2 linked regions of the Arabidopsis thaliana genome follow. The protein of the gene in region 1 purifies or fractionates together with the protein of each later gene. This does not show direct contact. Each region holds a gene or a part of one and is shown on either strand. Other genes may lie near its edges.

The links.
Region 2: the proteins of DL1C (region 1) and ADL6 fractionate together in Arabidopsis thaliana (co-fractionation; one large-scale study listed by BioGRID). This does not show direct contact.

What each region holds. Positions count from the first base shown.
Region 1 is NC_003070.9:5,102,004-5,117,336, forward strand, and holds DL1C (DYNAMIN-like 1C), read right to left. Parts: upstream 9,744-15,333; 5' UTR 9,468-9,743; coding exon 9,336-9,467; intron 9,217-9,335; coding exon 9,153-9,216; intron 8,934-9,152; coding exon 8,826-8,933; intron 8,735-8,825; coding exon 8,633-8,734; intron 8,432-8,632; coding exon 8,381-8,431; intron 8,274-8,380; coding exon 8,212-8,273; intron 8,065-8,211; coding exon 7,974-8,064; intron 7,883-7,973; coding exon 7,818-7,882; intron 7,723-7,817; coding exon 7,528-7,722; intron 7,434-7,527; coding exon 7,314-7,433; intron 7,229-7,313; coding exon 7,158-7,228; intron 6,838-7,157; coding exon 6,612-6,837; intron 6,519-6,611; coding exon 6,468-6,518; intron 6,375-6,467; coding exon 6,134-6,374; intron 6,056-6,133; coding exon 5,916-6,055; intron 5,822-5,915; coding exon 5,696-5,821; 3' UTR 5,413-5,695; downstream 1-5,412. Other genes in the region: AT1G14800 (Nucleic acid-binding, OB-fold-like protein), read left to right, coding at 435-555; AT1G14810 (semialdehyde dehydrogenase family protein), read right to left, coding at 681-762, 844-998, 1,336-1,437, 1,534-1,629, 1,725-1,769, 1,871-1,957, 2,070-2,630; AT1G14820 (Sec14p-like phosphatidylinositol transfer family protein), read right to left, coding at 3,234-3,395, 3,484-3,594, 3,680-3,797, 3,885-3,921, 4,160-4,418, 4,719-4,790; MAP70-4 (microtubule-associated proteins 70-4), read right to left, coding at 10,412-10,451, 10,539-10,726, 10,822-11,349, 11,429-11,500, 11,609-11,755, 11,860-12,015, 12,122-12,292, 12,399-12,569 and 3 more; NUP155 (nucleoporin 155), read right to left, coding at 14,918-15,026, 15,149-15,333. UniProt on the Arabidopsis thaliana protein: Microtubule-associated force-producing protein that is targeted to the growing edges of the cell plate during cytokinesis. Also plays a major role in plasma membrane maintenance during pollen maturation. Has a GTPase activity.
Region 2 is NC_003070.9:3,365,203-3,381,594, forward strand, and holds ADL6 (dynamin-like protein 6), read left to right. Parts: upstream 1-5,199; 5' UTR 5,200-5,571; coding exon 5,572-5,712; intron 5,713-5,995; coding exon 5,996-6,046; intron 6,047-6,142; coding exon 6,143-6,263; intron 6,264-6,392; coding exon 6,393-6,485; intron 6,486-6,829; coding exon 6,830-6,891; intron 6,892-7,061; coding exon 7,062-7,179; intron 7,180-7,325; coding exon 7,326-7,662; intron 7,663-7,767; coding exon 7,768-7,915; intron 7,916-8,241; coding exon 8,242-8,343; intron 8,344-8,423; coding exon 8,424-8,543; intron 8,544-8,810; coding exon 8,811-8,894; intron 8,895-8,978; coding exon 8,979-9,106; intron 9,107-9,209; coding exon 9,210-9,294; intron 9,295-9,411; coding exon 9,412-9,550; intron 9,551-9,775; coding exon 9,776-9,852; intron 9,853-9,922; coding exon 9,923-9,979; intron 9,980-10,261; coding exon 10,262-10,406; intron 10,407-10,493; coding exon 10,494-10,633; intron 10,634-10,972; coding exon 10,973-11,086; intron 11,087-11,199; and 7 more. Other genes in the region: GRP23 (glutamine-rich protein 23), read left to right, coding at 1-1,074; AT1G10280 (Core-2/I-branching beta-1,6-N-acetylglucosaminyltransferase family protein), read right to left, coding at 1,593-2,234, 2,941-3,537; AT1G10300 (Nucleolar GTP-binding protein), read left to right, coding at 12,940-14,046, 14,068-15,024. UniProt on the Arabidopsis thaliana protein: Microtubule-associated force-producing protein involved in clathrin-mediated vesicle trafficking from the trans-Golgi network to the central vacuole. Able to bind and hydrolyze GTP. Binds specifically to phosphatidylinositol 3-phosphate (PtdIns3P).

The sequences.
Region 1 (15,333 bases):
TAAAATATATAAAAACAAGACCAATGTAACAAATGCATTGCTTAGATATATATAACTCTAAAAAATATTCTTACAAGATAGTAAGTTTGGTCTATTATCCTATAAATTCTAGCATATAACCGGTAACAACATGAAAAAAAAATGTAAAACTATACATAGATTACAAAAATGTAGAAATCAAAAGATAAGATTAGCAAATAACAAAGATATTCCCTTTTTAATCAAAGATCAGTAAAAAAAATCGAAGTGGTTAGTGCATACTAACAAAACCAAAAACAAAACCAAAAACAACGCGGGTCTCCTCCCTAGTCTTAGTAACGAAGGAGTGATTTTAGGATTTGATAATATCCACTAAACAAGTAAATATTTGCTATAACTATCAATAAAGTGGGCCCCCACTGGTTCAGTCTTCAGTGTGTCAAATAATTGTGGAGCCCGGTTGTCTTCGGTGAGATCAACCAAGTCGGTACAGATTCGAACCGGAAAATTGCCAAGAGGTTCAAGCGTGTGCATGATGAGTTCAGATTTAAGAGACAACTTTATGAATCAAAGTAACAAAATTGGTCAAAATAGAAAACTCACAGAACAAAAAATGAGACAAATTCTTGGCTCAAATCTAATAATACAGTGATCTCTTTGTCAAGAATTTCATAAGAAGCAAAGTGAGAGCGGGTTCAAATTCAGAGAAGCATCTCAGCGATCTGAACAGCATTCAGAGCAGCTCCTTTGCGTATTTGGTCTCCACAAACGAATATGTCCAGCCTGAATTCACAAAGTTATATCCTTTTAGGCATATCGCAAAGACATTTGCTTCAAATTCAGTAGAAAAGAGTGAGACTTTACCCGAAATTGCCATCTTGAGACACGTCTCGCCTTATCCTACCAACCGCTACATCGTCTTTGTTAGAGACATCGAGTGGAGTAGGGAAAGTATTTGAAGCACGGTCATCTATTATATAAACTCCAGGTGCTTTCTTCAGTATCTCCCTTGCTGTGTTCTGTTATGATACAGTAAGAAAAACCGTTATAACCTGAATAAGAACTTGATCATAAGATTCTTTTAATTGCGCAACAAGAATCACAATACATGCTACCAGAGCAAGTCCAAAGAACAACTTCAGGGTTTAACTCTGCAAGTGCATCAAGAACTATCCAAGCCTACTTATGCTGATTACATGCTGCTCCACATTTTTCAATGGCTTGAGTTAAATTAAAACCATAGAATGTGGTTTAAAACTTCAAATTATGATTCAAATTGTCATATCAGTGAGTGAAATCATAAGGTAACACAACAACACAGAATCAGTAGAAATCGGGTTCGACGTGTGTTATTACCTCATCAAGAGGATTCTCAAACTGAAGATTCACACTCTCTGCATGAGCACGCATAACTGGAACACGTATACACGTTGCTGTTACTTTTACTTCTGTGTCATTCTGTGAAGGGCAAGAAATTGGTGTGAGATATCTAAAATTTTTGAACAAAAGATCAAAGTGAAATGAACACAAAATAGCACTTAAGTAACCACTCACCCAGATCTTCCTTGTCTCCTTCACAAGTTTCATTTCCTCTTCGTTGTAACCGTTGTCAAGAATAGGAGCATTATGTGAAAACAAGTTAAATGCATACTGCAGAACAACATACAAAACCATCACATTACTCAAAAAGGGATTTCATAATCAGCACATTCGAAATACAAACTATAAGCAAATTAAGCACTCACCTGCTGCCCGAAGATGTTACAAGTCGGAGGTTTACCCTCTAAAACCTAAGAAAACACACCAATGCAAAGAAGACGAAGAAGCAGAATCACAACTCAGCACAATCATTAAACAATTCAATCAAAGAAGGCTGAAATAGAAACAAAACCTCACGAGTCTGCTGAACAAGCTCTTCCATAGCTGCAGCACCAGCACCACTAGCTGCTTGATATGTACTAACCACCATTCTCTTCACCTATTATAGCCAATCAAACATTATTCAGAGCACTAAAGTCTAAAGCTTCCATTGATTCTCTAACTACCCTTCAAAATTTTGGACTAAGCAGATTTCAGAATAAAAATCGAACCTTTGCGTGATGATGAAGAGGCGTAACAGCCATCAAACAGATAATGGTGGAGCAATTAGGGTTTGCAATCAAAGCCCCTTTGCCCATTCCAACTTTGATCCCTTTCATTGCTTCTGGATTCACTTCAGGAATCACAAGCGGAACTCCATCAACCATTCTAAAAGCCGAGCTATTATCAACAACAATGGTTCCTTTCTCCGCCGCCAGAGGACCAAACTCTTTGCTTATGGATCCACCAGCACTGAACAAAGCTATGTCTACACCGTTGAAGCTATCCGCCGTGAGCTCCTCCACCGTGTATTCATGGCCATCGAAGGCAACACGCTTCCCTGCGGAGCGTTTCGATGCAAGCATCTTGATGGAGCTATAAGGGAAGTCTCGATCGGATAAGACGGAGAGGAATTCTTGTCCGACGGCTCCGGTAACGCCAACGACGGCGAGTGAAGGCGCAGATTCTTGGAGAGACATTTTGACTCTTGCGGAGAAGTGTCTAGGTTTAGCTCTGAGAGGAAGGCGAGAGAGGAAATGGGTTTGTGGGGTTTGATGAGTGAACGTCGCCATTGTCGCCGCCGTGAGGAAGAAGAAGTGAGAGACAGAGAGATAGAGAGATTTTGGAGGCGGCTGATAGAAAAAAGCTTGGGACTTTAAAGTGTGTTAGTGAATTGACCAACATCTTCAAAATTCAAAACAGCAAGATTGTTTAATTTAAGATACAGAAACAGCATGATGTTTGAAACTGCTCATTCACCAGATTGAGTATATTCACACAACTTTCTCATGTGTTTCATCATTTCTTCTTTTGGAAATATTAAGTTGTTGAAAAGTCTTTTGTCATATAACAAGGCTTAGGGATCATATTTAAGAGCTCGTGATTCTGGTTTTTAGCTCAAAGACATCTATAGCTAACTTTGGAATCTTACACGTACAACAAGAGGACATTAAGTTTCTAGAAGTTAGTCTGGTCTGTTGATCAATCCTGCTTTACAGCTTACTTATGATGTGAATAAGAAAAGATAAGCAAGAGCGAGCACTCAGTCACCAGATTGAATATATTCGCATTACTTTCTCATGTTTTCATTGCTTCTTTTGGAAATTTAGAGATGTACCACTAGTTATGTTCTGACCATTACAAATATTCAGGTTAATGCTTCCAAAAATAAAGAGCTAAACATTATTGTTTGTTAGAGTTACTGGAGCAGCCTGAGGAAGAAGAACATCTTGGATTGCTGTGAGCTTAGCTCGGCCACCGTACTCTTCCGGTAAAGCATCTGCTCCGATCTCCTCCTCGAATTTTCTCTGTTCTTCTCCATCCGTAACTATCACAATCTATGCAACAGCAAAATCATAATTTATGTGATTCGTTGCTCAAGAACCATTAGAGATAGATACATCAAGAGGAGATTAAAGATCAAACCTTTTCCTGAGTTGCTTTCTCTAGAAAACGGCAGACGAATTTCCAAACGGTCACGAAGAATCCGGGCATATGCAAAATGTAGCATTTTGCAAGGCGTTCCGGGTAGTAAGACTAGAGAAACATTTTCCAAATTTAATAGACAGGACTTCTTTTTGTGTGATAACTATATTGTTTCAGGAAGAAGGGAGATGCTTACTTGTAAGAATTGAAAGCCAGTGATCAATCCACGAGCATCAAGGTTCTTGTATGTAATGTTTGCCAGATCAATAACGGCTACTAATTTCTCACCTCCAACTTCTTTGCCATTGTTGCCACTGAAACATAAAAACCAAAAAGCTTGTCTCACAACCAACTAACCGGAAGATTATTGAAGTGTTTTGGTTTCAATAATGTGTAAACACCTTGCGATTGTTTTGTCTAGCGCATAAACAACAAACTCTGCAACATCAAACAGATAAAAGATTAGTTCATAGATAATTATCGCAAGAATCAACTCAAGGAAAACACATAGATGGACTCAAAAAACTTCATTCATTTGAAGTCAAATGAAACTACTCAATAATTAGAGAACCAGGAAAGAAGCTGATCAGTTCTATGAATACAAAAGTCACTGAAAGTCAAGGGACAGATTATTTCCAACGAAAGTAAAGGTCAGAAGCAAGTGAGAGGTGATTACTCTTGAAGTTAGCTGGATCCTTAGAAGCAAAATGCTTAGAGGTTATGACAAGCACCAATGGGTGTCCGGATTTGGTCGGACCCTGAAGACAGACCTTTCTGAATTCCAATTCATCCTGCACTTCTGACTCAGGGATGAATCCAGTTGGAGGAACCATGGAGGCTCTCCATTTTTGCCAATCTACAAACATCTTTGCTGCCTTGACTGGGTCCATTGATCTTGCCACCAGGAACCTCATCAATGTTGGTTTGTCATATCCCTTTTCAGAGGAAACAACAACAACAAAAACCATTGATGAGATTTTCTGATTATGGATTCACTTTTACTAAACTGTCTCTACTGTTAGGGTTTCTGATGGGAGGCTCAAACCTAATCAGACAAACCACTATGACGAGAATGGAGACAGAGTTTTAACAGTGTAGCCCATATAAAACCCATCAAAATCAAATGACAGATATTTCTCATTTTCTAACGAGACATTGTCAGTGAAACTCATGAAACGGCCAAAAGATGCAAGCTTTGTAAACTGTAATGAAACTAAAGCGTCGAATTAGATTACCTCAGTAGAAGAAGAGAGTTTCTCGACCGATTTTCTCAACTGGGTCAAGGCAAGTTCTTGGCTTTCCTCCATGATCTTTGGCTCTCTCAGATCCTAAAAAAATCTCACAGAGAAATAAAGAGAGAGCCTTTTGTGGTCCGTACAGACGCACGATAAAGTAAGTTGAAAAAGTAAAGAGCTTTGATGTTGACAAAGACCCAGAAGCCACAGGAAGAAGAAACAGACAAAGTATTGGGTACTTGTCTCTACGGTAAGTGGATAGAAATAACTCAATAAGCCTTTCCCCAACTCGCTGCAATTAATGGGCAGCTGGAAGTTGAAGCTCTCTCTTTGACTTTTGTTTCTACTACTTTGACGATTTAAAACAGCTGTGATGATTACATTGCTTTTTAACTCCTAAATCCCGAATCTTAAGGCTTACTTAAAGTTCTTTTAATCATTTTTCTGATCAACCATGTGAAACAGGCTTTGTTAACGGTTATACATTTAGCTGCTTGTTCTTAATTGAGCATTGGAAATTCAGTTCTAACGATTTTTATTGTTTGTGACAGAAGAAAAGTCCTTTAGGTTAATAAGTTGTTCTATCTACATGAGATGTACATTAAATTTTCAAGAAAGATTAGCTTCTTTGTCATCTATTTGTTTTTAAACTTGAACTGGATCCAAATACAGTAATGGCACAAGTGGAGACCAATTGAATAAAAATCAAAGATTAGCTTCCTTTTTGTCTAATGTAAAGAGTGCGACTTCAAAATATGTCTTAACTGTTCTAAAAACCAGTATTCAAGAATCGAAGATACACACCAAAAAAAAGTGGGAAAGTTGTGATAGAAATTAGCGACCCAAGAAAACATGAGTAGTCGCGTGTATGTTTGTGTAGACTGGAAGTTAGAACTCCAAACATATCTATTATAATGCAGTGTGCCCACACGAACAAAGAAATTAACAATATAAAGAATATGTCTTAGCAAACCCCCTTACTTCCAAGCCACTGCATCGATGTCGTCTCTAGCTTGTTTGTAAAGCTCTAGCCGTTTAGCTAAGGTTCCTCTTCGTTCCATCAGCTGTGGGTCTTCGTCCAACATAGCACCCAGCTTCTCCTTCTGCACCATCATTTTTCTTAAATTTATTCTCGATTTGGGCATGGCATTTTCTACAAGGTAACAAAATAATCCAAAGGGTAATAATATAGTTTACCTCTTTCCTGCCAACTTGAGCGTAGAAGAAGTTGAGAAGCGATCTCTTAGCTTCTCTAACTTGGCAGTAAACGACAGCTTTGGGAAGAGAGTTTCTCAATGTGTCGCAGACCATGTTTATGTATGCACTCACGTTGGATCCTGAATTATCCAAAGTCAACAAACAAAGACTTGATAATGTATCATTTCTAAGTAAAGGGAGGCGAGAGAGACACGTACCGATCTTTCTGAAGTGATTATCGGAGTAGGGGTCTGCGTTTGGTGCTGGGGCATTCCTTGGGTTTGGTTTCTCTTTCTCGGGTTCAAGATGGAGTTTCCTGAAGAACTCAACCGTGAGGTAGCTAGATTCCATATCCACCAGACGCAAAACCGTTTTCCTGCTTTCGTCTCTGAATCTTTCAAGAGCTTCATTTGCAGCAGCTGCTATATCGCTTGCTAGAGTCGGGAAACGCTTCAGTTCCTGAAAAAAACAGCAATGGTATGTTAGGACTAAAACAGAGCGTAAAGAGCTAGGAAGAGTTCTCAAAACCAAAGGCATCTTGTCAGTTCTTACCTCTGTTTCTGAAATTGACTTTCTGACCAGCTCCTTCAATACGAAATGCACCTAGGAAATATCAAACAGCAATCAAGAATATAGTCAATTTACTAAAACTTAAGTCTCAAAAGTAATGCAATCTAATAAATTTTGGAAGCATACTGCATCGACAGTGGCTTCAGCTGGTCCTTTGAAATAGCTTATGGATCCATCAATGAGCCTTCTGTATCCTTGTTCAGGAGCAATAAGATGCGGCTGATAACCATCTGCTTCTGAAACAACCTTCTGAACATTTTTGGTAGACAGATGTCGATCAAAGGGAAGTTTCTTTAAGGCTGCTGGTAATTGATGGTCGAAAACTCCATAAATTCGGTCTCCACCAGGTCGTCTGATACAAACAACATAATGACTGTCAGAAGACCAACTTTACCGGACGTACATTGTGAAATTATGTGAAGCATTTTCTGGCAAACATCTATGAAAAGGTCATTGATGTAATTTTTTTACTAAAACTGCACATCCTTAGTCTGGAAACTGACTAGAAGGTAAGCAAAATTCATTATAGAGCAGCACATTACTCTGGAAACGACACTATCTCTTAAAAAAATTCATAGACTCCAAGTTGATCATCACAGTCGCAATGTAATAGTACACCAACAAGAAGTTATAAGCTTTACGAATAAGAAGTAGAATAACTAAATCACTTACCCTCCATCCAAGTGCTCCTTAAAGACACGATCAAATGCCCGGCAGAGTTCCAAAATTGTGTAAAGTTGGGCCTGAAATCATATATTTAGTGAGTGACTAACCATACGATTCTGATGCAACTCTGAATTCCAATTACTTAATGGTTTAAAATCTTACTCCTGAATCTACTGCAATGGGTCTCCCAATCCTATCAAGTTCTGCATTTATCTCATCGATGCTTTTGTTGATCAAAGCAACAATACTGGGGATTTTCTGCCTGATAACAGTCTCTAAGTGCTAATAGAGAGGAAAACAAAGAAGGAAGAAAGTCAAAGCTAAGCATTCAAGCTTTAATTTAAACGAGATCTGTGCAAGTAAATCCAAAGGGTACCTGAGACAAGAGTTTTGCTAGATATTCTGATCCCATTCTACTGGCTAAGTGCCCGTATTCAGGGCTTGTTTCAAAATATTCTTGCTCTTTTCTACGTGCAGCAATCATATCGACTCTCTTATTAATATCAGCTTGTGAACGATTCACAATTCCAACCCAGGGATGTTGCAAACGGTATGACCTTCCCTCAAGAACCTTCATCAAATAGGTAGAGGAGGTGTCACAATATATTAAACAAGTAACAGAATTAGTTGACACCCCAAGGTGCAGAAATCAAGAAAGACGCTTACATCTAGACAATCTGTTCCTTTATCCATGATATCAAGCTTGGTTGCAACACCAAAAGTCCTTTCGCCTACAGAAATATATTAGAAGGTTAAGAAAATGTTGTGGAGTGTAAAAAGTCACTACTTACCAGTTATTAGGAAACTACATTTAGGTCGTACCTGTAGGATCAACTTCTCTAGCAAGTTTTATAGCATCTGAGGTAGCAATATCTTGATTTGCTGGAGAAATAGCCAATATGATGCAATTTGGCTGCAGTTAAAAGATTTTATGGATAAGCTTCCAGAGTTGACATTATAGTGAGTGATGATGATCAAATGCATTCTTCTGTTCAACTTGGTTGGAAAAGTTGAAAAGATTGCCGAAACCGTCTCAGTAATAGCTTAGAGCAAGACTGACCTTTTCAACATAAGACCGGACCATATTTTCAATGTCTTGGACAATACTTTCCGGTTGTCCATCTACACGAATAATATTCATATCAGTGACTAGTTTAAGCACAAGATTCATATCAGTAACTAGTTTAAGCACAAGCTAAGCTACTGGATAAAAAATAGTAAACTCTTACCTACAGCGACCTTGGTCAAACCCGGAAGATCTATGAGCGTCAGATTAACAACTGTAGAGAAAAGAGTAGAGTGAGAAATCAAAGTCACATGGAAGAGGTTAGCAAAATTGGAATCTTCAAATCTAATTGTACTACTCGTTATCTCATTACAGCTGGTATCAAACTATCAATAATATAGGAAATTTACGGTGTTGGTTTCTGAACTAACTACAATAGGAATGCATAACAGGAAATGTGGTCTTAAGCACAAACCATTAGGAGAATATATGCTCAGCTGAATTGGAATGTTTGAGATTTGTTTTGACTTCCCAGTAATACGATCAGTTTCATCCTCAATTTCTTTCCGCACAGCAGCTGAAAAGAGAATAACACTTAGATTAGCCCGACATGCCTTTGTCGATTTCACTGTTTCCAGCAATTAGCGTGAAAGATTCAATCAAACTACCAAAATCAGCAAATCTCTTCTTAGGAGCATGAAGAAACTCAGCGTACTCAGTTGTCCCGTCTTCAGTCTTATGAAGTTGCAACACCAATGGCCTCCTTGTAACGATACCTGATAAAATCAAATGGTATCAATTTAGATGGTCTCCTTCTTCAGTCTCATGTTTTTCGAAGTAGTCAAAATGTTCATGTAATGCTCTCAAGATCACAGAGCTTCGCTAAATTGTTTGAAATCGAAGCAACTAATAAGAGCACGAAATTCCGAAAACCTAATTTCAATTCCAAACATCGAAGACACTAGACAAAATTGCTTAACGAGAGGTAAAATTACCAGATCCACGAGGCAGAAAATCTCTTCCCACAACACTTTCTAGAACTGAAGATTTTCCGGAACTCTGATCCACAATATCAACCAAACAAAAATGATAAATCAGAAACGTGGAGATTGAAGAGGCGAGAAGTGAGATCGGATCTTAACGTAGAAATGTGTATATTCAATAGAAAGAGATCAAACCTGGCCACCAACGACAGCGACGGTTGGGAGAGCTTCCCAAAGCGACATTCCTTCACCGCCATGATCTCCGAGGACAGTACACGCCCTCTGGATTTTGTTTATCAGACCTATCAAACTTTTCATCGTCGCCATGTTTCCTGGAACGTATCACAGATCCAGAAAATCTCTCACCGACGCTCAGATCTAGATCTAACGAAACGAATATAGTTATCGGAGGATGGATTTGAAACGTCCGGTGAGTTGTTACTCTCTCGCGGTAGCAGGAGGGATTGATGAATCTGGGAGAAAAGAGGAAAGAACCCAATGGAGCAGAGAACGGTAATGGGAAAAACAATTTCAAACCAAAAAAGTAGGACTACTTGCTCAAATATATAATACTTTTGGACCGAAAGTGAAAATATATCAAATCCCACGTCGCTAAACGCGTACCGGTCAATGATACGGAACCGGTTCAATTCATGTGGTTATGTTCTTTTTTTCTTTCTTTTTTACTCAAAAGTCAAAACTACTAATTATCATTAAGACCTGATTACATTACAAATGTACTTTTTTCCCAATAAAGTCTGACTACAAATGTTGTAAATATCCTTCTCAAATCTCAATGATGGTGTTCTTATAACTCATGTGGTGTTCATTAACTCTATCTCTCTCTCTTTTTGTATATAGCTTTTTTGGGTTTTACCAGTTCTTTTTTTGAACACCAAGAAGAGTTCTTTTAAAGATAAAAAATTAGGCTACCAATATAATCGAGGTTAATAAGAAAATTAACTAAGAGGAGAGAGTGACACACACAAAACAAGAGAGTAAAAAAGCTTAAAATGTTGAACAAAACAACCCTACCTCTACTACTGCAGTACTACTATACATAACGCAACAGAGTAAGAAATATATCAGCTAAGTGAAGTCAATGTCTCCCTTTACCTTGAATGTTGGAATGCTTTAGAGAAACACACATCGAATCAATCAGGTACTTTACACGATTATCTCTTTCGGCTTTTGAATCCCTTCTCTCAATTTGGTACAAGAACCTTAAGGCAAGCCACAGAGACCAACCAGTGATTGATCGAATCAGTTTGTCACTGTGTGCTCCTCGTCATCCCGATTCGTCCAGACACTCTACCAAATGATAAAATACATAAACAATAATGACATCTAAAGGTAATAATAAAGCTTATTGTAGTTGATATGATAATACATTAATACCTTCCAGAAAGTAGCTGAGCTGTGTTTCCCTTTGAGACCGAGAGACGTCTGGTCTTACTATCTTGTTGTCCTTTATCAACAACACGCATTGCAGCAACTTCTTTCCCCATTACAGCTACTTCTCTTCGCATCTTCTTTGCCTCAACGTCCATCGCCTTTGTTAATGTTTCAACCTTCTTGGCCAACATCTAAATATACACAACCCATATCTTTAGACTTATATTATACAACATTTCATATAAAGGCGGCAAAGAACAGGAAAAAAGGCCAAACACTAGCAAACCTCAATCGCTTCGTCCTTGTCTCTCAGGCTCTGATCTTTTTCATGCGCCGCTTTTCTTAATGTTATGACCTCTTTCTGCAGCAGATCGTACAAGACACCTGGGACGCTATCATTATTTGTTGCCTTGTCAGCTGATTCTTCTTCCCCTTTTATTGAGCTAGGCGATTCGCCTCTGCTAGTTCCTTCAGAAGACTTGTGGTTCAAAGGAAAATTCGATCTCGGTCCATTTATTAGCACTTTGCTTCTATCCAATGATCTGGTGCCCCCATCAAATGATCTTGATGTTCCTTTCGCATGCTTCAATACAGTGCTTGCACTAGCAGTCAATGATCTCAACTGAGAACTTGGTGTTCTCTTAATCAGCGAGCCATTTGATGTAATTTTTGGACTTGTTTCAGCTCCACCAAGGGATTGTCTTCGAGTAGGCCCGTTGCTCGAACTTCTACCAACAGATGTGCCTCTGCTGCTGCTGCTCGTAGGCCCCTTTAAACTCTCTTCTAACACTCTAAGCCGCAGTAAAAATTTCTCCTAAAAATAAGTAAAAGCAGCAATTCCTCAGTTAGGAGATTAAAAAAAATAAGATGGTGTCCCGCAGCTATGATTCTACCTTCAGCTGAGCTTCAGATTTTGCAGCTCGGTCAGCTATGGCAAGTTTGTCGCGTAGTTGTTGCATTTCTCCCTGTCCAAACATAACGGTGGTGGCAATAGTATAAGTTAATCTCCGTGAATATGAATCACAATTTGAAGCAGCAAGAGAATTTAAATATTAATATGTATCAGCAATGACCTGCAAAAATCTACGTTCTTCAAGCCACTGCCTTACAGGCATCACTTTGTCATTAGAATCTTTCCATTCGTTAGCTACAACAGTAGCAACTCTGTTTGCATTTACCTTCGCACGGGCCAATTCCCGTTCAAGGATTTTCCTCTCTTCCTAAGGAAAACACAAAACACCACAATTACGATCAGTACGAGACCAAAACACTAACAAGAAAAACAGTAAGTTATTGAGGTACTATAGAAGCATATGAAATATACATTCATTTCTTGGAATTTCCTTTGGTAATCTCTCACTGCGTTTGCGGCTGCACCACCAGCAAGAACAGCTTCTTCTAATTCCCGAACACTCTGCATAAGCTTTTCAACTTCTGCAACCTTCTGTCTGTGCATCTTGTCTATAATTCTATTCTCTTCCTATTTTAACCAATGTATCAACAAATAAGGCCACCACAGTGGTAAGAAAAGGAAGAGATACCCTATTCTGGTGTTCCAATATGTAAAAGAAATGATATAGACATACCTGACAAATTTCAATCTGTTTCATCAATTCTTGGTTCTTATTCTGGAGATCATCAACCATTGAAGCCTTTGCCAATGCAGACTGAACTGTCCTTTCAGCGTCAAGCAAAGCTGCTTCCTTTGATTTGGTTAGGCGGTCCAATGATTTATTGTCGTCTTGAAGTTTAGCAATCTACCAATCAAAACATGTAAACCCATATGAGAAAGCTGTTAAATGTCCCGTAAGTTGTTGAATCGAGCTATACAAAGGTAATTCTGGTTCAAAGGAAGGAAAATACTTCTTGTCTCGAAAGTTTCAGTTCAGCTTCTAAAGGGGCAAGAATAGCTTCAATTGGAGGCATGTCATCATCCTTTTGAGCAGCATGAACCCTACGAAGAGAAGCTTCTGCTGCAAACTGAGCTGCCATGGAAGCCTTCTTTTCTTCATTTATCTTCTTGATTTCAAGGTTCTGTGACAACATACAACATCATTATATATAGAATCAATATAAATAAGCGATCAAAGAACAAAGGAGATATTAGAAGCATACTTTACTCTCAAGAAGATTTTCAATAAGTTTGAGTTTTTCCGCCATCTTTCCCAACTCTTCAGTGAGCTTCAGCACTCAAATAAAATAGCAGAGAAGTCAGTACACAGAGAGTGTAAAGAGAGAAACTTTATATGACATAATTCCAAACAAGTAAAACCAAGCTCAGGCTACATGACTACATATTCTATAAATAGGAATATCACAATGCCACTCAAGCTAAATACTTTGTTTATGTAATGGAAGCTTAAAGTGTAAGGGCATAAACCTCTTCAACAGCCTTCTCTCTTTGTCGTTCAGACAACCTCAAAGCTTTGATTTCAGCTTGTCCTTCAGATAATTCCCTATCCTTATCTGTATAACCAAGTCATTGTTTCAAACACAAGAAGCAAAGTACTAATCCAAAAACCAATCTCAAATTCCATTGTCAAATCATCAACAAAATCACATTTCTCGTACCTCTGACTTCATTCTCCAGCCGATTTAACTCAATTCTCACGGGATCTGAGCCATGGAGAAGGTTCATGAACTCGTTATCCGCGTCAAAGCTTGGTCTCATTGACCTCCGTCGTGACATGCCTTTGCTTCCTCCTTCTCGATAAGAAGCCGATATAGCCAATGAAGGTGACATAAATCCTCTTTCCTCCATTACTTCCGATCTCAATCCTCACCACAATTCAAAATTGAACCAAAATGCTAAAGTTGTAAATTAGATCGGTATATATCAGAAAACAAACGAAGAGGACAACACTACAAAGCTCATCAAATGCTTGGGCTTAAGAGAAGAAGAGAACACTTCTTGTTTTTGTTTTGTTTTGTTTTGCAGAGAGATAGAGAGATTTAAATGAGGTTTAAGGGTATGGTTGTTAAAGAGTGACAACGATAGAGACTGATTAGCGTCACTGTTAATTACTGTTTAATTGTGTGCTCCTCTTTGATTTTATTAACTAGTTTCATAAGGAGAAATTGGGTAATTAGCAATGAAGTAGTACATTCTTGTCCAAAAGAAATTATCATAACACTGGTGTTTCGTAGAAATATGGTTAATTTACATTGAAGGGATTAGGGACCATCTGTATTTATTTTGTATGTGTTGTCAAATTATTAGGGACCATCCCATTTTGTCCAAACATGTACGACAAATGTAAAATCACTAGACACCATGTCTCATGATTCTAACTAAAATGACACAACTTCTATTCTGGTTTTTTTTTTCTCAATCAAATTTCAGATTTAACTTTGGTGTACATTCATGTTATTTTCCCCTTTTTTTTTTTTTATCATCACGCATAATATATTTGTATAGATTAATTTTCGTTGAATTTGATACTGTATTCATTTCTTGAAGATACTAGTAGTATATAGTGAAGAAATCAATGTAAGAGGAGACAAGAATCTTTGAGCTTTAATGAGCCGAACATGTCCCTAAGTCCGGACCACGGTCAAACCAACTAATCTCAAATTTTGAGCTGTTTCTTTACATTATATTATATCTTAGTTTCATACTTTCATTGTATTACGTTATTCATCTAAACACATTTCATTTACGTAGTTACGTTTCTTTTGTTTTCTACCGTCTTTTACATTATTCATCTAAACAAATTTAACTATTTCCTGATAGACGGTAGAAATCTACATAAAGTTTACATGCAGAAACAACCAAAACTTTACATACTCGTGAATATCATTCCTAAGTTTGACGTAAACACACTAATCTATCCTATTCCTACCTAATAATTTGTTGCTAATTTTTCTATTGTGTTGTTTTTTTCCTCGAGTGGAGGATAAAGATCAACCAAAAAAGGGGAAACAAAAGCTGCCAGAAAATTCTACTTTGGTTCTACGAAAATTTGGAATGGAATCCAACGTCGAGAGCAAGATCAGTCAAAGTCAAAACTCCCAATTGTGCAACTGTATAACTTTTAACCAAGATTTTCTTTCAAAAACTTCTGATACATCATTTTCAAGTTTGTAAGAATTTAGCATGCAAATACAATAAGTTAACTAAGTTTAAAGGAAAAACTAAAGGAAAACAAGAAGTATTTAGCCAACAACAACACCTCGATGAAGAAATTACATAATACAGATAGAATTGACAGACAAGGCCCCGAATATAAGAGGGAACTACAGAATTATTTTCTCTTTTCGTATTTTTGATTCTCTTTGAAGGGGAAATTTCCCCAAAGAGCAATTTAAAGTTACAAGAAAGCCGCTAAACCCTATTAAGTGAAATTGGATGCATATTAAGAAAGAAAGAAAAAAGTGATGGATCAGAAGGAGAATGGACTTAAGAGAGACTCGTCAAGTTCTTTAAAACCTGCGTATACACCATCCGTCTTGTTCGGTGGCAGAGCTAGTCTCCTAACCTCTGTCATATACCTGTTCGTAAAAAGACATATCTTCGTGTTTTCAGAGATTCTTGATTTTAAAGTATACTTAAAAATTAGGGGTGGGCAAGAAAAGCAGACCAAATCGAAACAAAATGACAGAGACAAACTTGCCTGTTTGCAGCGTTTGCAATCTTATCACGTGCCCCTTGGTTAAGAGCAGCTTTGTTCTCTAGCGCAAACGAGCCGCCTAGTATCAGAGAAGACCTGGTTGGACTCGACCCCATTCTGTCTGACAATACAGACATTGCCCATTCACGGAGTACCACTAGAACTGAACGAAGGAGGCGGATTCTTAG
Region 2 (16,392 bases), 1.7 Mb from region 1:
CTTGACCAAGCCAAGGACATTGTTGGTGAGATGATTAGACATAATGTTGGGGTTACTACTGTGCTGCGGGAATTCATCATTGAGGTTTTTGAGAAGGCAGGACGTCGTGAGGAGATTGAGAAAATTTTGAACTCTGTTGCCCGGCCGGTTAGAAACGCTGGGCAGTCTGGTAACACTCCACCTAGGGTACCCGCAGTGTTTGGAACCACACCTGCAGCTCCGCAGCAGCCTAGAGACAGGGCCCCATGGACGAGCCAAGGAGTGGTGCATTCCAATTCAGGTTGGGCCAATGGAACTGCAGGTCAAACAGCAGGAGGAGCTTACAAGGCTAATAATGGCCAGAATCCCTCTTGGTCCAACACGTCTGATAACCAGCAGCAACAATCGTGGTCGAATCAGACGGCAGGGCAACAGCCACCGTCATGGTCGAGACAGGCACCGGGATATCAACAGCAGCAATCTTGGTCTCAGCAATCGGGGTGGTCAAGTCCTTCAGGTCATCAGCAATCATGGACTAATCAGACAGCTGGCCAGCAGCAACCTTGGGCTAATCAGACGCCTGGTCAGCAGCAACAGTGGGCTAATCAAACGCCTGGTCAGCAGCAACAATTGGCTAATCAGACGCCTGGCCAGCAGCAACAGTGGGCTAATCAAACGCCTGGCCAGCAGCAACAATGGGCTAATCAGAATAATGGTCACCAGCAACCGTGGGCTAATCAGAACACTGGTCATCAGCAATCATGGGCTAATCAGACTCCTAGCCAGCAGCAACCATGGGCTAATCAGACAACCGGCCAGCAACAAGGGTGGGGAAATCAGACAACCGGCCAGCAACAGCAGTGGGCTAACCAGACAGCTGGCCAGCAGTCAGGGTGGACAGCGCAGCAACAGTGGTCTAATCAGACAGCTAGCCATCAGCAGTCACAGTGGTTAAATCCCGTGCCAGGAGAGGTGGCTAATCAGACACCGTGGTCAAACTCTGTGGACAGTCATCTTCCTCAACAACAGGAGCCAGGGCCTTCCCATGAGTGCCAAGAGACACAAGAAAAAAAGGTAGTGGAGTTGAGGAACTAGTTTGACAAACTCGCTATTTCTTCTGCACCACCATTCTCCTCATAGTTAATTTGGCTTTTGCTTTGTGGTTCCTATTTTTTGCAAACTCTAGTAGTTATTTCTTTAGGATCAACATCATAATCTACTACGTTCGTTGCCCTTGCTTCTTCACTTGTATGTATGGTTCTTTTGAAGCCAATGGCTTCTAAAGAGTAATGGAATTCAAAATCAGTAATTCGATCAAAACATTAAATTCCATTTCTTCCAAAAAGTGATCAAAATGAATAATATATTCGTAAATCTACAACTAGATTAGCTCTGCAGGTCGGCAGAAGCAAAACTCTTACATACAAAAGGCTTGACCATTACGATCATCTCTATAAAACCCCAAATAATGAAGAGATTATAACCAAAAGAATAAAACTATATAAGAAAGAAAAAGAGTCCTATGTTATGTATATTATATATCTCGTAGAAGAATCTCATCTCATCCCTATAAAAGAAGAAAGAAGAGGAGAAATGAATCAGTTTGTTTTTTCTCAAAACCCCAGGACAGTAGAGCTCAAATTCATAAGAGGAGCTAAGGCAGAAGGAGAGAACTTGCGAGCAAAAAGGAAGCATAACGAAGTTGGCTCTTCATTGTAAAGACAATCCGTCTCGTTTTTCCTTATAGATTGGAGAAACCCTTCTGTGATATTAGCTGCAGCATATGTAGCTGGATGGGGACCGCCTATGGACCAATCAACCCATGTCACGCTTCTATTTGCGTTCATTGAACCGTGAAACATGTTCAAGAAAGTAGGGATGTAATGCTCGTCTGGGTAACAAGCTGGTCTGCAGAATTGTTTGAACAATGAGTAGTATTTCGAGTCTGAGATGATGTAGATGGCGATTTTACGGTTTACTTCAAACCACTGAGACCCTTTGCGCCAGTGATGGAGTTTGATATCCGGGAGCATCTTGCGGCTATAACGGCCACGGCCATAACGTGTTGGCTCATCATAAGAGTCCACAAAACTGTAAGCAGAGTTTATTAGGTAAGTGTAGACAGTTGAGAAGTTGTAAACTGGGACACAGCTCTCTGAGAGAAGAACAAAACGCTCATTTGAGAAGTCCAGCAATGCATTGGCTAGAAGACGCTTCTCTGCGTCTGTCAATAGTGGGGATCCCCATTCAACTCTCTAAAAAATTCAAGTATAAAAAACCCATCAGAACCAGACAGAATTCTTTAGATTTTTTTATCAAGTAGATCTAGCATACAATGACACAGACCATCCATGATTCATCAGATGACCAAGTTGAAGAACCAAACAAAGCGTTATGCAATTACCAGGATCATTGTGACATACAGAGAAAATTAAAGGGATTACTACAATAAAAGGTGTAAAAATCAACAAGAGAAGCTTATATAATGTGTCTATGAATTAGTCTTTTATAGTTTCCTAGTTCACAGCTAAGCAGATCACAGCTAAGCAGATCACCTCTATAATAAAAGCTGTTCCCGATCATTAAACTAAAACCAGCTATGTTCCAAATAATCACATAATAGCAAAATTAGTAACAAAGCTTCATCTAATACACAACCTTGAAACAGATGTAGCTGACAGTGGAAGAAACAATTAAAAGGTTCAAATCCTATAAACAATCTCAAATAGTCACGCGCCAGTGTAACTTGGATTCCATCATGCCGATTAGATCTACATGTTGTTCCTCTAGAGAACTAGATCTCCATGATCCAGAATGACTATATTTCTTATCTACTTATCTATTACTCTGTTCTTGTATACAAGATTAAGTCACTGGTGAAACTAAGTATTTGTTTTGTTCTGATCCACTGAAGAACACAAGCAAGACACAAAAAGTTCACTGTCCTGCATCAAAACGTACCTGGCTGGGGATCTGGCGGTCGTAAAAGGGAGAATCACGAGAGACATTCATGTCGTATCCAGGAGGCGTATGAACATAAACGGACAAGTACTTTTCATTGCCTTTAAAAAACTTCTCCCAAAGCGGAAGCATAGGTAAAGGCCCTCTCGTCAGAAACATAAACGCCACTTTCGGAACCCTATCGTACGGATACTCTTCCTTCACCGGAACCATCGAAGCTCTCCAGAACAACTCATCATCAGTCATTCCATGACTCAGATTCTCTGGCCGAACAAACCCATCAATGCTCCAACAATCTCGAACCTTTGGTTTCTCCGCCTTGACTCCTCCGTCGTCGCTCTCGTTGTCGTCGTTACCTGTGCAGTCTCGGTGGATGATTGTGCAATTGGAGTAATCAGGAGTCGAAAAAGGAATCGATTGGAGGTTAGTGGTTGATGAGAACATCCTCGGCAAAGAATTGAAGTAGCGATCGATGTGAGAACTTGCGGCGAGACCGATGATGATTCCAGCCATGAAAATTAGCAAAAACGACAGCGTTTGCGCCAGCTTTAGTAACCCTATGTGTTTTTCTCCTTCCTCTTTCCCTCCTCTCGCCATTGTTCGAGAAACTCAAAACTTGTCTACCCAAACAACAACACAGTGATGATCTCTGTTCCCCAAAAATAAAGTTTCAGGGAAACATTCTTATGATTCAAAGAGAATCTGATTGTTTCAAGCACAAATCCATTGCATTCAATCTCCTCGAGAAATTTCCTAAATTTGTAACATATAATTAAATCCAAGGATCAAACGAAATCGAAAAAGGTAAGTGGATAAATGGAAATTGGATCTGTGGAAATCTTCGAGGAAAGTGAGAAACGATGACTGAAACAGATCAGAAACTGAATTTCATGCAGAGAGGAAGAAGAAGAAGAAGAAACATAAACAAATCTGGTCTTTTGTTTCTTCCAGTTGAAATCTATGTGTGTGTGTGGTTGATTTTGATCTTATATATATAAAAGAACAAAATTAATTGGAATGTTATGCTTAATTTAATTAGATTAATTGAGTTTAAAACTCCACGTCGAAAAGCATAACGAGTTCAAAGTCCGCAGATCTTGCCAGATGGGAATAATCTATTGGTTTTAAGTTATTGGGCCGGAGGGCCCACGTTTAATTGTGACGTGGTTTAGTGCTCGTCAACTCTTTGGTCCGACATTTCACTTTTTTTTTTATAGAAATAATTCTAGATATCCAGTAGTCAAACTTATTGATTATCTAATTTCTATATCCTTACTATTTTTAAAAAAATTACTTTTAACATTTCTAGAATTTTTCGATTTTTTCTGTACTTATTAACTATTAGTAAAATTTATTGATGCTTCTTTTGGTTATGTTATAGTATTGAGACAATGTATTGTATTCTAATTTTGATTTTTTTTTTCCTTTTTAATGATTTGTAGATTTTGTTTTTTCATTATTATATTTGAAAAAATATCTTCTTATATCTTAATCACCAGAAAATCTAAAACCGATGGCTATACTAATTTCCGGAATATATGAAATGTTTATTTTTCTATTAAGGATCCAAAGCAGCTAATTAAGATTAAAAACTTGGGAAGAACTAGTATCCCAAACAAACAATATGATATCCAGATGTCCAAAAGGAAAAAGAAATGGTATCAAAAGAACCAAGAAATGTGCCTAGAAATTTCATATAGTTAGCTTGGAAATTTCTGATTTTTATGTCCAATGTTTATTTATTTTTTCCTTATAATTATACTTGTCATACATCACAAAGAATTGTCAACATTGCCAAACTAGTCCTAAGATGTTGGAAGGTATGATGATAGACAACAGTTCTAAAGAAGGGAAGATGAGATTCAGGCAACAAAAAACACATATAGTTCAAAAAAATTAGGTTGGTAGGATCAATTATTCAAAAAACATACACCAAATAGATTTTAGTAGGGGTTGTTTGTCCAAAAAAAAACTATAATAGTTTACGAAAATAGTTACACCTTGTGAATAGATTTTTTGTTTGCCTTCCCTTGAGGTAAATTATGTCGCGAGAACTATATGAACAACAACGAGATCCACAACAACATTTGATTACATTTTTATTTGAACCTTCACATTGATTTAGTAATGTGGGATTCCAACATCATCTAATGTTATATGAATGGATCTAATAGATGATAAATTGTTAAATGAACTGATAATTTTTTTTTATTTTTTTATGTGTATTTCACATCACATTGTTTTTTTTTTTTTTTTTTTAAGTAAGAAAAAGAAGAAGCACTTGAGACCGATCAGAAAAAAATTAGAAAGATATGATTTTTGTAAGTCTTTTGAAATTTGAATCTTGTCCCGTGTAATTGTGAAATCTTACGTACGTCCTCTTTATGACCTCGTCTTCGCTCATTTCTGCCTTCCCTTACGAAATCCCCAACGAAAAATCTTAGCTTAACACCATCGCGACCGGATTCCAAATTCCGGCCCATCGTCTCACCGGGAAAGACCCCGCCTATTGCCGCCGATTTCGGTTCCGGTCTGCTCAGATCTAATCGAGTGGCTTCCTTCTTCCTCCAGATCTCTTCACTTTGAATCGGTTACTCGATCTCGATTCGCGGAGGGCTTTTGCTAGTCGCGATGGAGGCGATCGATGAGTTGTCTCAGCTCTCAGATTCGATGAAGCAGGCGGCGTCTCTCCTCGCCGACGAAGATCCCGACGAAACCTCTTCTTCCAAGCGCCCTGCCACTTTCCTCAACGTCGTTGCCTTGGGAAATGTGGTGAGTTCCTCGCTCTCACTCCACGCTCCTCGATTTTCCTCTCTTTAGGCTCGTGCTGGTTTTATTCTGTGTTCGAGTGTATGTTGGATTGCCATATCGTGGATCTTCTGGATCTAGATTAGGTTTTTATCGAATTTTGCTAGGACACACTCATCGTTTATAGCTAGTTTTGTTGGGATTCTCTTTATTAGTGGATATATGGTTACATGAGGAGCGACTCGTGCCGGAGAAGGCTGATGTATTTTGTTATTTGTTACTTATCTCTTTTTGCATACTGAACCAGGGAGCTGGAAAGTCTGCAGTTCTAAACAGTCTAATTGGGCATCCAGTGCTGGTAAGTTGTACATTGAGTCTATGGTTATTATTGGCTTACTCCTTTTCTTATACTAATACTGACCTCTGTTGTGTCTGCTACACTTACTATACACAGCCGACGGGTGAGAATGGTGCTACACGAGCTCCTATAATAATTGAATTGAGCAGGGAGAGTTCTTTGAGCAGCAAGGCAATTATCTTGCAAATCGACAATAAATCTCAACAAGTTTCTGCAAGTAAGTCTCTATCTATGAACATATGCAATTTAGCAATGCTATGTGAGGCTCTTTCTGCATTTATGATAAAAAAATTTCGATCAGTCTTCTCATAATATCTCCATTGTGTTCTACATGGGTATATTTTAGGTGCTTTGAGACATTCTCTGCAAGATAGACTTAGCAAAGGAGCCTCAGGGAAGAATCGTGATGAAATAAACTTAAAACTTCGTACCAGCACAGGTAAGCCCCTTTTTACTTGCACAATCATAAGTGGCAAGCCTATATCTACTCTTCAAATAGCACATCCTTAGCTAACCTAAGTTGGGTGTATGAATTTATCTTTGATACCCGTGAACTGGTCAGCTGTAATATCTTGCTATCCTTATATACTATCTAGTACACTAGTTTAGAGCTTCTAGCTTTACTTTGGTGGGTATCAGATTAAATATCTAACGGAGCTTTAACATAAACAGTACACACTCTTTTGAACATGAGTTATGACATATGACATATGACCGACAGTTTCGTAGTATTAAATTTTCTTTGACCATCATAACCTGTTACGTTTACCCTTTACATTGCAGCTCCACCATTGAAATTAGTTGATCTGCCTGGACTGGACCAGAGAATTGTGGACGAGTCAATGGTGAGGCTTGGAACTACTTAATGCCATTGTCATATCCTTAACTTGCCTGACAACCACGAAACAAAAGATTTTGACTATTTTTATCGGTTTCCTACTGAAGTGATAATATAGATTCATTATCATGTTTATCCTTTTGAAATTGTTGTTTGTTTCTTGGGTCTCTTTGCAAGATTGCTGAATACGCGCAACACAATGATGCCATACTGCTGGTTATAGTGCCTGCTAGCCAGGCATCTGAAATTTCATCATCCCGAGCCCTGAAGATTGCAAAGGAGTATGATCCAGAGAGTGAGTACATCTGTATTTCCGATCTGTCTTATCTTAATATTGTTTATTATTTGTATACCTGATAAGAACTGTTGATTTACCTACCTATTATCACTTCAGTTTGCTTAAAATACTCATTAGCTAACATCACTCCTCCCTACTTATAGGTACTAGGACAATAGGCATTATTGGAAAAATTGACCAGGCAGCAGAGAACTCGAAAGCCCTTGCAGCTGTTCAGGCTCTTCTTTCAAATCAAGGACCTCCAAAAACAACTGACATTCCATGGGTTGCTGTTATTGGCCAATCCGTTTCAATTGCGTCAGCACAGTCTGGAAGTGGTGAGAACTCCTTAGAAACTGCTTGGCGTGCTGAGAGTGAAAGTCTTAAGTCCATTTTGACTGGGGCTCCACAAAGCAAGCTTGGCAGAATTGCGTTGGTGGATACCCTTGCTAGCCAGATTCGTAGCAGAATGAAGCTCAGGCTTCCAAGTGTCCTGTCTGGGTATTGCTTCTCTCCATATATGTGCTTTCTTCATGATTTTTATTATGGTGTTGGCATATGACATTGGTTGCTTGAACGCATATGGCTTTCAAATTCTTTGTACAGGCTCCAGGGTAAGTCTCAAATAGTGCAGGATGAGCTAGCGAGGCTTGGTGAACAACTAGTTAACAGTGCTGAAGGTACAAGGGCTATAGCTTTGGAGCTTTGCCGTGAGTTTGAAGACAAGTTTCTTCTGCACTTGGCTGGTGGTGAAGTAAGTACATTCTTACAAAAGTTAACTAGATTTAGTCGAAAATTCAAGAATATAGTGAGAGAGAAGAACTCTTCAAATATTAGCAATCAGCCATTTCAGATTTGGTACTAGTGTAGTGGAAAGTCTCTTGCTAGCCTACGCTTGGTAAGAGCACATTATATTGTTGGGAATCTCATGAATCTGATAGTGGATGTTTATAATATGTGTATAAGCCAACTGAGTGTTTGATATAGAGTTTTTGTACTTGTCTGTGTTCAGTTTATGGGCTGAAGTCCCTTTTGGAGCTTGGCAAATGTTTTTCTCAAAACTTTTTGATTCTTGTTCAGGGAAGTGGTTGGAAAGTTGTTGCAAGTTTTGAAGGAAATTTCCCCAACCGTATCAAGCAGCTTCCATTGGATAGACATTTTGACCTGAACAATGTTAAAAGGGTGGGTGTCTTCTTCTGTCCTAAGTTTCTGCACGAGACAAGTTTTGAGACTTGATTTGTCAAAATATCTTTGATTTTCAGGTTGTTTTGGAGGCAGATGGTTATCAACCTTATCTTATATCTCCAGAGAAAGGGTTGAGATCGTTGATAAAGATTGTCCTTGAGTTGGCTAAAGACCCGGCACGCCTTTGTGTTGATGAGGTGTGCTTGTTTACATGTTTTTTTAGGTACATGCAGTAGGATTGAATTTTAGAAATTTACTGCATTGTGAACTGGCTATGGCTTGTCTCACTTTAATTCTTCGAACTGTTATTTAGAGTTCTGTCAAGTTTTCTGGTTTATAAGCCTTAGTAAGTTAATATCCCTTACCGTAGATGTAGCTATTTTTTGGTTCCTACTTTAAAACTCATGCATCCAGCTTCTGTCTTATTTACGTGTTGAGCTAACATGGTCTTAACTTTTGATTAGGTTCACCGAGTTCTTGTTGACATAGTTTCAGCTTCTGCAAATGCTACACCTGGACTTGGGAGATATCCTCCTTTCAAGCGAGAGGTAATAATGATTTTTTGGTGCTTTATTCAGTAATATTTTATCATTTCGGTAACAGTTATTCCTTTCTGACTAATCATCAACCAGGTTGTAGCTATAGCAAGTGCAGCACTTGATGGTTTCAAGAATGAAGCCAAGAAAATGGTGGTTGCACTAGTTGATATGGAACGCGCTTTTGTACCACCTCAACATTTTATCCGTCTTGTGCAAAGGAGGTATTTTGGCTTGTCTTTCTTTGCAATTTTTGTTTTTATTTTCAATGGTTCATGACTGAAAATTATTTCTCTTTCTGACGATGCACTGTATTGACTCCATCAGAATGGAAAGACAACGTCGCGAGGAAGAGCTGAAAGGGCGATCTTCTAAGAAGGGACAAGATGCAGAGCAGTCCCTTTTAAGCAGGGTGTGTGTTCATTCTGTATCAATTTGGATATACGTAGTGAAAAATGTTTTTTTTTTTTTTTTATCGTTTTACATGAAAATATATAATGTGGAAATTCTCTACATATATGTTTATCAGGCTACTAGTCCTCAGCCAGATGGGCCAACAGCTGGTGGTAGCTTAAAATCAATGAAAGACAAACCTAGTCCGCAAGATAAAGAGACGCCGGAGGTCTCTGGTCTGAAAACTGCTGGACCTGAGGGGGAGATAACAGCAGGTTGTTATTCTAATATACATCTACCCAGTTACTGTCTAAAAAGTTTCATTCTGCTTTTTCACTCCCGATTTGCTTTCCTTACGTTGCATGATTTTATTGCTGCAAAGCTTTGCTCTTAGTCCAAGTGCATGATTTCTTCATGTCTTTTTCTTCTTTATCACTTAAAACTAACTTGACAAAACTAACTTCCAAGGTAGATAACAAATACTTACTCTTTTCATTTAGGGTACTTAATGAAGAAAAGTGCAAAAACAAATGGGTGGAGTAGGCGATGGTTTGTTCTGAATGAGAAAACTGGAAAGGTCAGCATTTTGAAACGTATATTCTTCAGTTGTTGAGAACTTACTGACTTTACTGTTTACCTTTTTCTAGCTTGGCTATACCAAAAAGCAAGAAGAAAGAAACTTTCGGGGCACGATAACTTTGGAGGTACCATTCTCTTCCTATGCTTTATTTTCTGCCAAAGGTGAACTATAATTAGATATGACATGGAAAAAAGAATTAGAGAAGAATATAGTTCGTATTCACCTTGTTATTTTCTCCCACACTGTTTCCTTCTTGGAGAGTGACAATTACTTGTGTATTTTGAAGCTTATGCTTCAAATATTTAATAGTTCTGTTATTATCGATGAGAAATTTGGATACTCTATAGATAACATTTTTTCCATGTTTTTCTAATTATACTTCCTCCAACTTTATTAATCCACTCAGGAATGCACTATTGAAGAAATCCCCGAGGACGAAGTAGAAAAGTCAAAGAGCTCGAAGGACAAGAAGGCAAATGGACCTGATTCAAAAGGACCAGGCCTTGTGTTTAAAATAACCTGCAAGGTTCCCTATAAGACTGTACTCAAAGGTACATAAATCAATCATTATAAGAATTCAAACTTCTTAATCTTCTATTCGCACTTTTATGAGTTTTCCTCAAACTATTATGTTGCAGCTCACAATGCCCTTGTGCTTAAGGCTGAGAGTGTAGTCGACAAGAACGAGTGGATTAATAAGTTGCAAAAGGTTATCCAGGCTCGTGGAGGCCAAGTGGGCAGTGTTTCCATGAGGCAGAGTCTTTCAGAAGGTTCACTTGTGAGTCACTCATGGGCAGCTTTTCTTACATTTCCTCTTCCTTAAATCTATGTTAGATACGTTCACTAGTCTTATGGATTACTTATTATCACTATGAAGAAAGTTTGAAACTTCACTTCGGAAGGTTTGAAACTGTTGGAAGAGCAAACAAAGCTATTTATGTTTTATTGAACATTGTCGAATTTTTATTATTGAAACATTTTTCCTATAGAAGGCTCAGTTTATGGGGTATGCATGATACTACTTTTAAACTTGACATAAGTTATGTTTGACATTTAAGGTTTTTATTGTTTATAATATTTTCTGAGACTTACGTTTTTTTCCTTGTCTGTATTTCAGGATAAGATGGTTAGGAAACCCATCGATCCAGAAGAGGAGCTCCGGTGGATGTCCCAAGAAGTACGGGGTTACGTTGAAGCTGTTCTTAACAGCCTTGCAGCCAATGTTCCAAAGGTGAACTATCCTTATGCAAAAGCTCGAAAGCTCTAAATTTTCTTGTCCATCTCTTTTCTCTTACAGAGATTCCTCGGTCATGCTACTAAGCGATGTGAATTGACCATGAACAGGCTGTTGTTCTTTGTCAAGTAGAGAAAGCAAAGGAAGACATGCTGAATCAACTCTACAGTTCTATAAGGTTCAATATCTTTTCGTTCCCTGTGCCTTGTTTCGTTTCAGTTGTGGTGTGCTTACTTGTGCTCTCCTGTATTTGATCTTTAGTGCAATAGGCAATGAAAGGATTGAGTCATTGATACAAGAGGATCAGAATGTCAAAAGACGAAGAGAGCGTTACCAGAAACAATCCTCTCTTCTTTCTAAACTCACGAGGCAGCTTAGCATTCACGACAACCGAGCAGCAGCTGCTTCAAGTTATTCGGACAACAGTGGCACTGGTAAATTCATCCGCCTTATTATATTCGAAACATGATAACAGTTCTTCTGCTTGCTTGGTTTGGATTGATACGGTTTCTTAAATACCATCTGAAAGATCTTCAATGAAACTTAGGTTTATAAATCTTTTAATCTTGGTATCACTTGTCCTACAGAGAGTAGCCCAAGAGCAAGTGGAGGTTCTTCAGGGGACGACTGGATGAATGCCTTCAACTCCGCTGCTAATGGACCCTCAGACTCATTGTCAAAGTACGGTTCCGGTGGTCACAGCCGCCGTTACAGTGACCCTGCGCAGAACGGAGATGCAGCATCACCAGGGTCTGGTAGCAACCGCCGCACCACCCCCAATCGGTTGCCACCAGCACCACCGCCTACAGGTTCAGCTTATAGGTATTAGAACCTGAAGAAAAAACCCTGGAAGCGCATTGTGTCCCGTTTTCTGGGACTACGTTACTCTTATTTTTTCTAGTTTAAGACAGTGATTGGATGATTGTACTACTGTTTTTTGGTCTTTGTAGATAGATATTATCACACACATGTGTTGGCAGCTAAAAAAGAGTTTGGTCTCATGAGTCAAATGTCTGTTTGAATTTTTGTTTTATTTCTTATTCAACTTTTCTTGGCATCCATTTTTTGAGCACGCTATGCTGTAGTAGTTATAGAATGAATTTTGTATCTGATATTCTTATGAATCTGAACTGTTTGGGTAAATTACTAAATTTATAAAATCGAAGTTTCATAGACTACTTCCATTGTTTAAGCCTTGAGAGAATACTTTCAGGGCTAGTTGATGAAATCACTAAATTTTGGGGTTTATTGGTAAAGTTGTCGTATGCGGTAGTACGTAGTTGCAAATGCACCGCAAGTATTTTCTTTATTCAGAAAGCCTAAAATTAGCCAAACGGCATCGGATTATCCCTCGAACCAAATTAGTAACATACAATTTCTTATAAGTAATTTTAACTTTGTTAAACACCAGGGTTTAAATGAGATTTTCCTGAACATATGGTGTTTTTGTTAAATTTTAATAGATGTTCTTGCAATAGTTTTGAAATTTGAGGGTTATTTTTCATTTTCGCGAAACTTGGGAAAGGAACCCTTCTAGCCCTAATTAACGTGTCTGCTTTAAATTAGGGCAGACAAATTAACGTTCTCTGTCTCTGTCTGTTATAGGCTACTCCACCGTCTCGATCTCATTCACCTTTTAGTAAGGTGAGCTATCTCTTGTCTTCATTGACGAAGGTTTGTGTGGATCTCGAAGTTAGATTGATAAACCTAACTTGTTCTTGTTATATAGTTATGCACGGCAGCTAGAATTTGTCGAGCTATAATAGCATTGTTATAAGATTAGCAATCGAAATTGATTTAGTTAACGTTTTAAGATTAGGAATCCAAGTTTTAGAATCTGTTTGGACCAAATGACCATCGTCTCTACTTGTTGTCCTTTTGGTCTCTCTAATGTCACTAAGTGTATCAATTTCGTGCAGATTAAAGAAGCAAAAACAATGGTGAAATATAATTTCAAGAAGATAACAGTTGTGCCAAACGGAAAACAGTTTGTTGATATCGTTCTTTCCCGCACTCAGCGGCAGACACCAACTGTTGTCCACAAGGGTGACAGGATTTGCAAACTCCGTAGCTTCTACATGCGGAAAGTGAAGTTCACAGAATCAAACTTTAACGAGAAGCTCTCTGCCATTATCGACGAGTTTCCTCGCCTCAAGGAAATTCAACCCTTCTATGAAGATCTTCTTCATGTGCTTTACAATAAAGATCACTACAAGCTCGCTCTTGGTCAAGTCAATACTGCGAAGAACAAGATCAGCAAAATCGCCATGGATTATGTGAAGCTATTGAAGCATGGTGATTCTCTGTACCGATGCAAGTGCTTAAAAGTGGCTGCTCTTGGGCGTATGTGTACTGTTATGAAAGGTATTGGTCCTAGTTTGGCTTATCTTGAACAGGTTAGGCAACACATTGCAAGGCTTCCTTCGATTGATCCAAACACTCGAACTCTCTTGATCTGTGGATGTCCTAATGTGGGAAAGAGTTCTTTTATGAACAAAGTTACAAGAGCTGACGTAGCTGTTCAGCCATATGCTTTCACAACAAAGTCACTCTTTCTTGGTCATACTGATTACAAGTGTTTGAGGTATCAGGTGATTGATACACCGGGGCTTTTGGATAGGGAAATTGAAGACCGTAATATCATTGAATTGTGTAGCATCACCGCGTTGGCTCATATCCGAGCTGCTGTTTTGTTCTTTCTTGATATTTCGGGTTCTTGTGGTTACACCATTGCTCAGCAGGCTTCTCTTTTTCACAACATAAAGTCTGTGTTCAAGAACAAACCGTTGGTGATTGTCTGCAACAAGACTGATTTGATGCCTATGGAGAACTTATCTGAAGAAGATAGGAAACTTATTGAAGAGATGAAAGATGAAGCTATGAAGACTGAAATGGGAGCAAGTGAAGAAGCAGTGATTTTGGAGATGAGTACTTTGACTGAAGAAGGTGTGATGTCAGTGAGGAATGCTGCTTGACAGAGGCTGTTAGATCAGAGGGTAGCGGCGAAGATGAAATCGAAAAAGATCGGTGATCACTTGAACAGGTTCCATGTGGCGATGCCGAAGAGTCGTGATGACCAAGAAAGGCTCCCTTGTATACCTCAGGTAGCTGGTGAAAAGGAGAAGCGAAAGACCGAGAAGGATTTGGAAGATGAAAATGGTGGAGCTGGGGTTTATTCTGCTAGTCTAAAGAAGAACTACATTTTGGCTAAAGAAGAATGGAAGGATGATATAATACCTGAGATCTGTGACTGTCATAATGTTGCTGATTTTGTTGATTCAGACATCTTGAATAGGCTTGAGGAATTGACAAGTGAAGAAAGTCTTAGGAAGGCAGAGGAAGAAGAAGTTGGTTTTGAGATTGAAGGCGAAGAACTTACAGAGAAGGAGAAGAATGATTTGGCTGCTATTCGTAAGAAGAAAGCTTTGCTTATTGAAGAGAGTAGACTTAAGAAGAGCAATGCACAAAACAGAGCAGCTGTTCCAAGAAAGTTTGACAAGGATAAGAAGTTTACAAGGAAGAGAATGGGTAGAGAGTTATCATCTCTTGGTCTTGATCCGTCTTCTGCTTTGAACCGTGCAAGAAGCAAGTCTAGAGGCAGAAAGAGGGAAAGGTATGATGATTTGAGTAACGATGCAATGGATGTGGATGTGAATGATGATGAGCAACATAAGAAGAAGAAGATGTGTCTGAGATCTAAATCAAGATCTTTGTCAAGATCAAGATCAGTGTCAAGGCCACCACATGAGGTTGTACCTGGTGAAGGCTTCAAAGATTCTTCACAGAAGATTAAGGCAATTAAGATTGGACACAAATCTCACAGAAAGAGGGACAAGGCTGCACGTCGTGGAGAAGCAGACAGAGTTATACCATCTCTTAAACCAAAACACTTGTTTTCAGGGAAAAGAGGCAATGGAAAAAACCAAAGGCGTTGAAACCAGTGATCAGGTAACAAGGGCTCATTAGTATAAGCCATGCATATCTCTATATATCAAGCTTATGTGTCCTTCACTTGTACTTTTATTATATGACTCATATAAAACATTGTGGTTAGCAAGCTGTAGCAAAAAGAGATGATAATATGGCGCATTGGGTTTCTGCAGGGGGACTATGCAGATGATGAACGGTTTGAGGATTATCTATCAAGTTTTGGATTTGGAAGCTTTTTACTTACTTTTGTTTTACTATTTTTGGATTTTCTCGGCATTTGTTATTCACGTTGGACGAAATGTAGAGAAGAGAGTTGATTGTTTGGAGACAGCTATGAGTGATCAATTGTGGTTTTTAGATGTTTTGAATTTTTTTATACTTGGAAATTGCAATAGTTTTTTTTTTTTTTTTAAATTGCAATAGTTATAATGTTATCGTTGATCCTGCAATAAATACATAGTACTTGCTTATCATAATTTTAAAGCACTTACAACTATCATAACCTTGATGCAATTACAATACTGATCGTTATAACTTATAGGATAATTTTGAAAATTGTCATATTTTTGAGTTTTTGTTTGAAAATTATACTCTATCCTATTTTTTAAATAATAATATAATTTTAAATATGTTAAATGATTTTTCGGTTCAGATTTAAAACAAAAAGATTATTTTTAATTAATTAAAATTAAATACAAATTTTTGAAAAAAAAGAATAAACTTAATTTAAAATCTTAATTATTATTTTACTATTTTAAGATAAAGAAAGTTTATATATTTTAAATATTAAAATCTAACATGATATTATCAAAAACAAATATTTTAAAGTTGATCACTTTGTCACATTATATATAAAAAATCAATCTAACTCCAAACCTATAATTCTTTTTTTCTTCTTTGTCTTGTAACAATATTTTCCTTTATAAATATATTCAAAATAAAATTATATGGAAAATTGTTAGTTAGTTACATCAAATATTTTAAAATTCAATTTTTTTTTTTGTGTTGACAAATAAATAAAACTGATTGTTGTTTTAAATATAAATAAAACAAAATTATTAGTAAATTTTGCTAAAGATATTTTTGTAATTTTATATTTTTTTATATTTTAGAAAATAAATTTTAGAATCTGGGTCGGTTACGTTGCTTAATTTTTCTTTTGATTTCTAGTCTCTGCCTTTATTTCACTGATCATTAATAATTGCTGGAGTTTTAATTTACATATTATAAAGGGACCAATTGTTATCATTGTATGAATCTTTTTTCTTGCAAATTATAACCGTCATTATTGGAAAAGAATAGAAACGCCCACGATTGTAATTAGATGCTAGGTCTTCAAGGTTTGTGCATCCCACTTGGAAACAAACAATAAA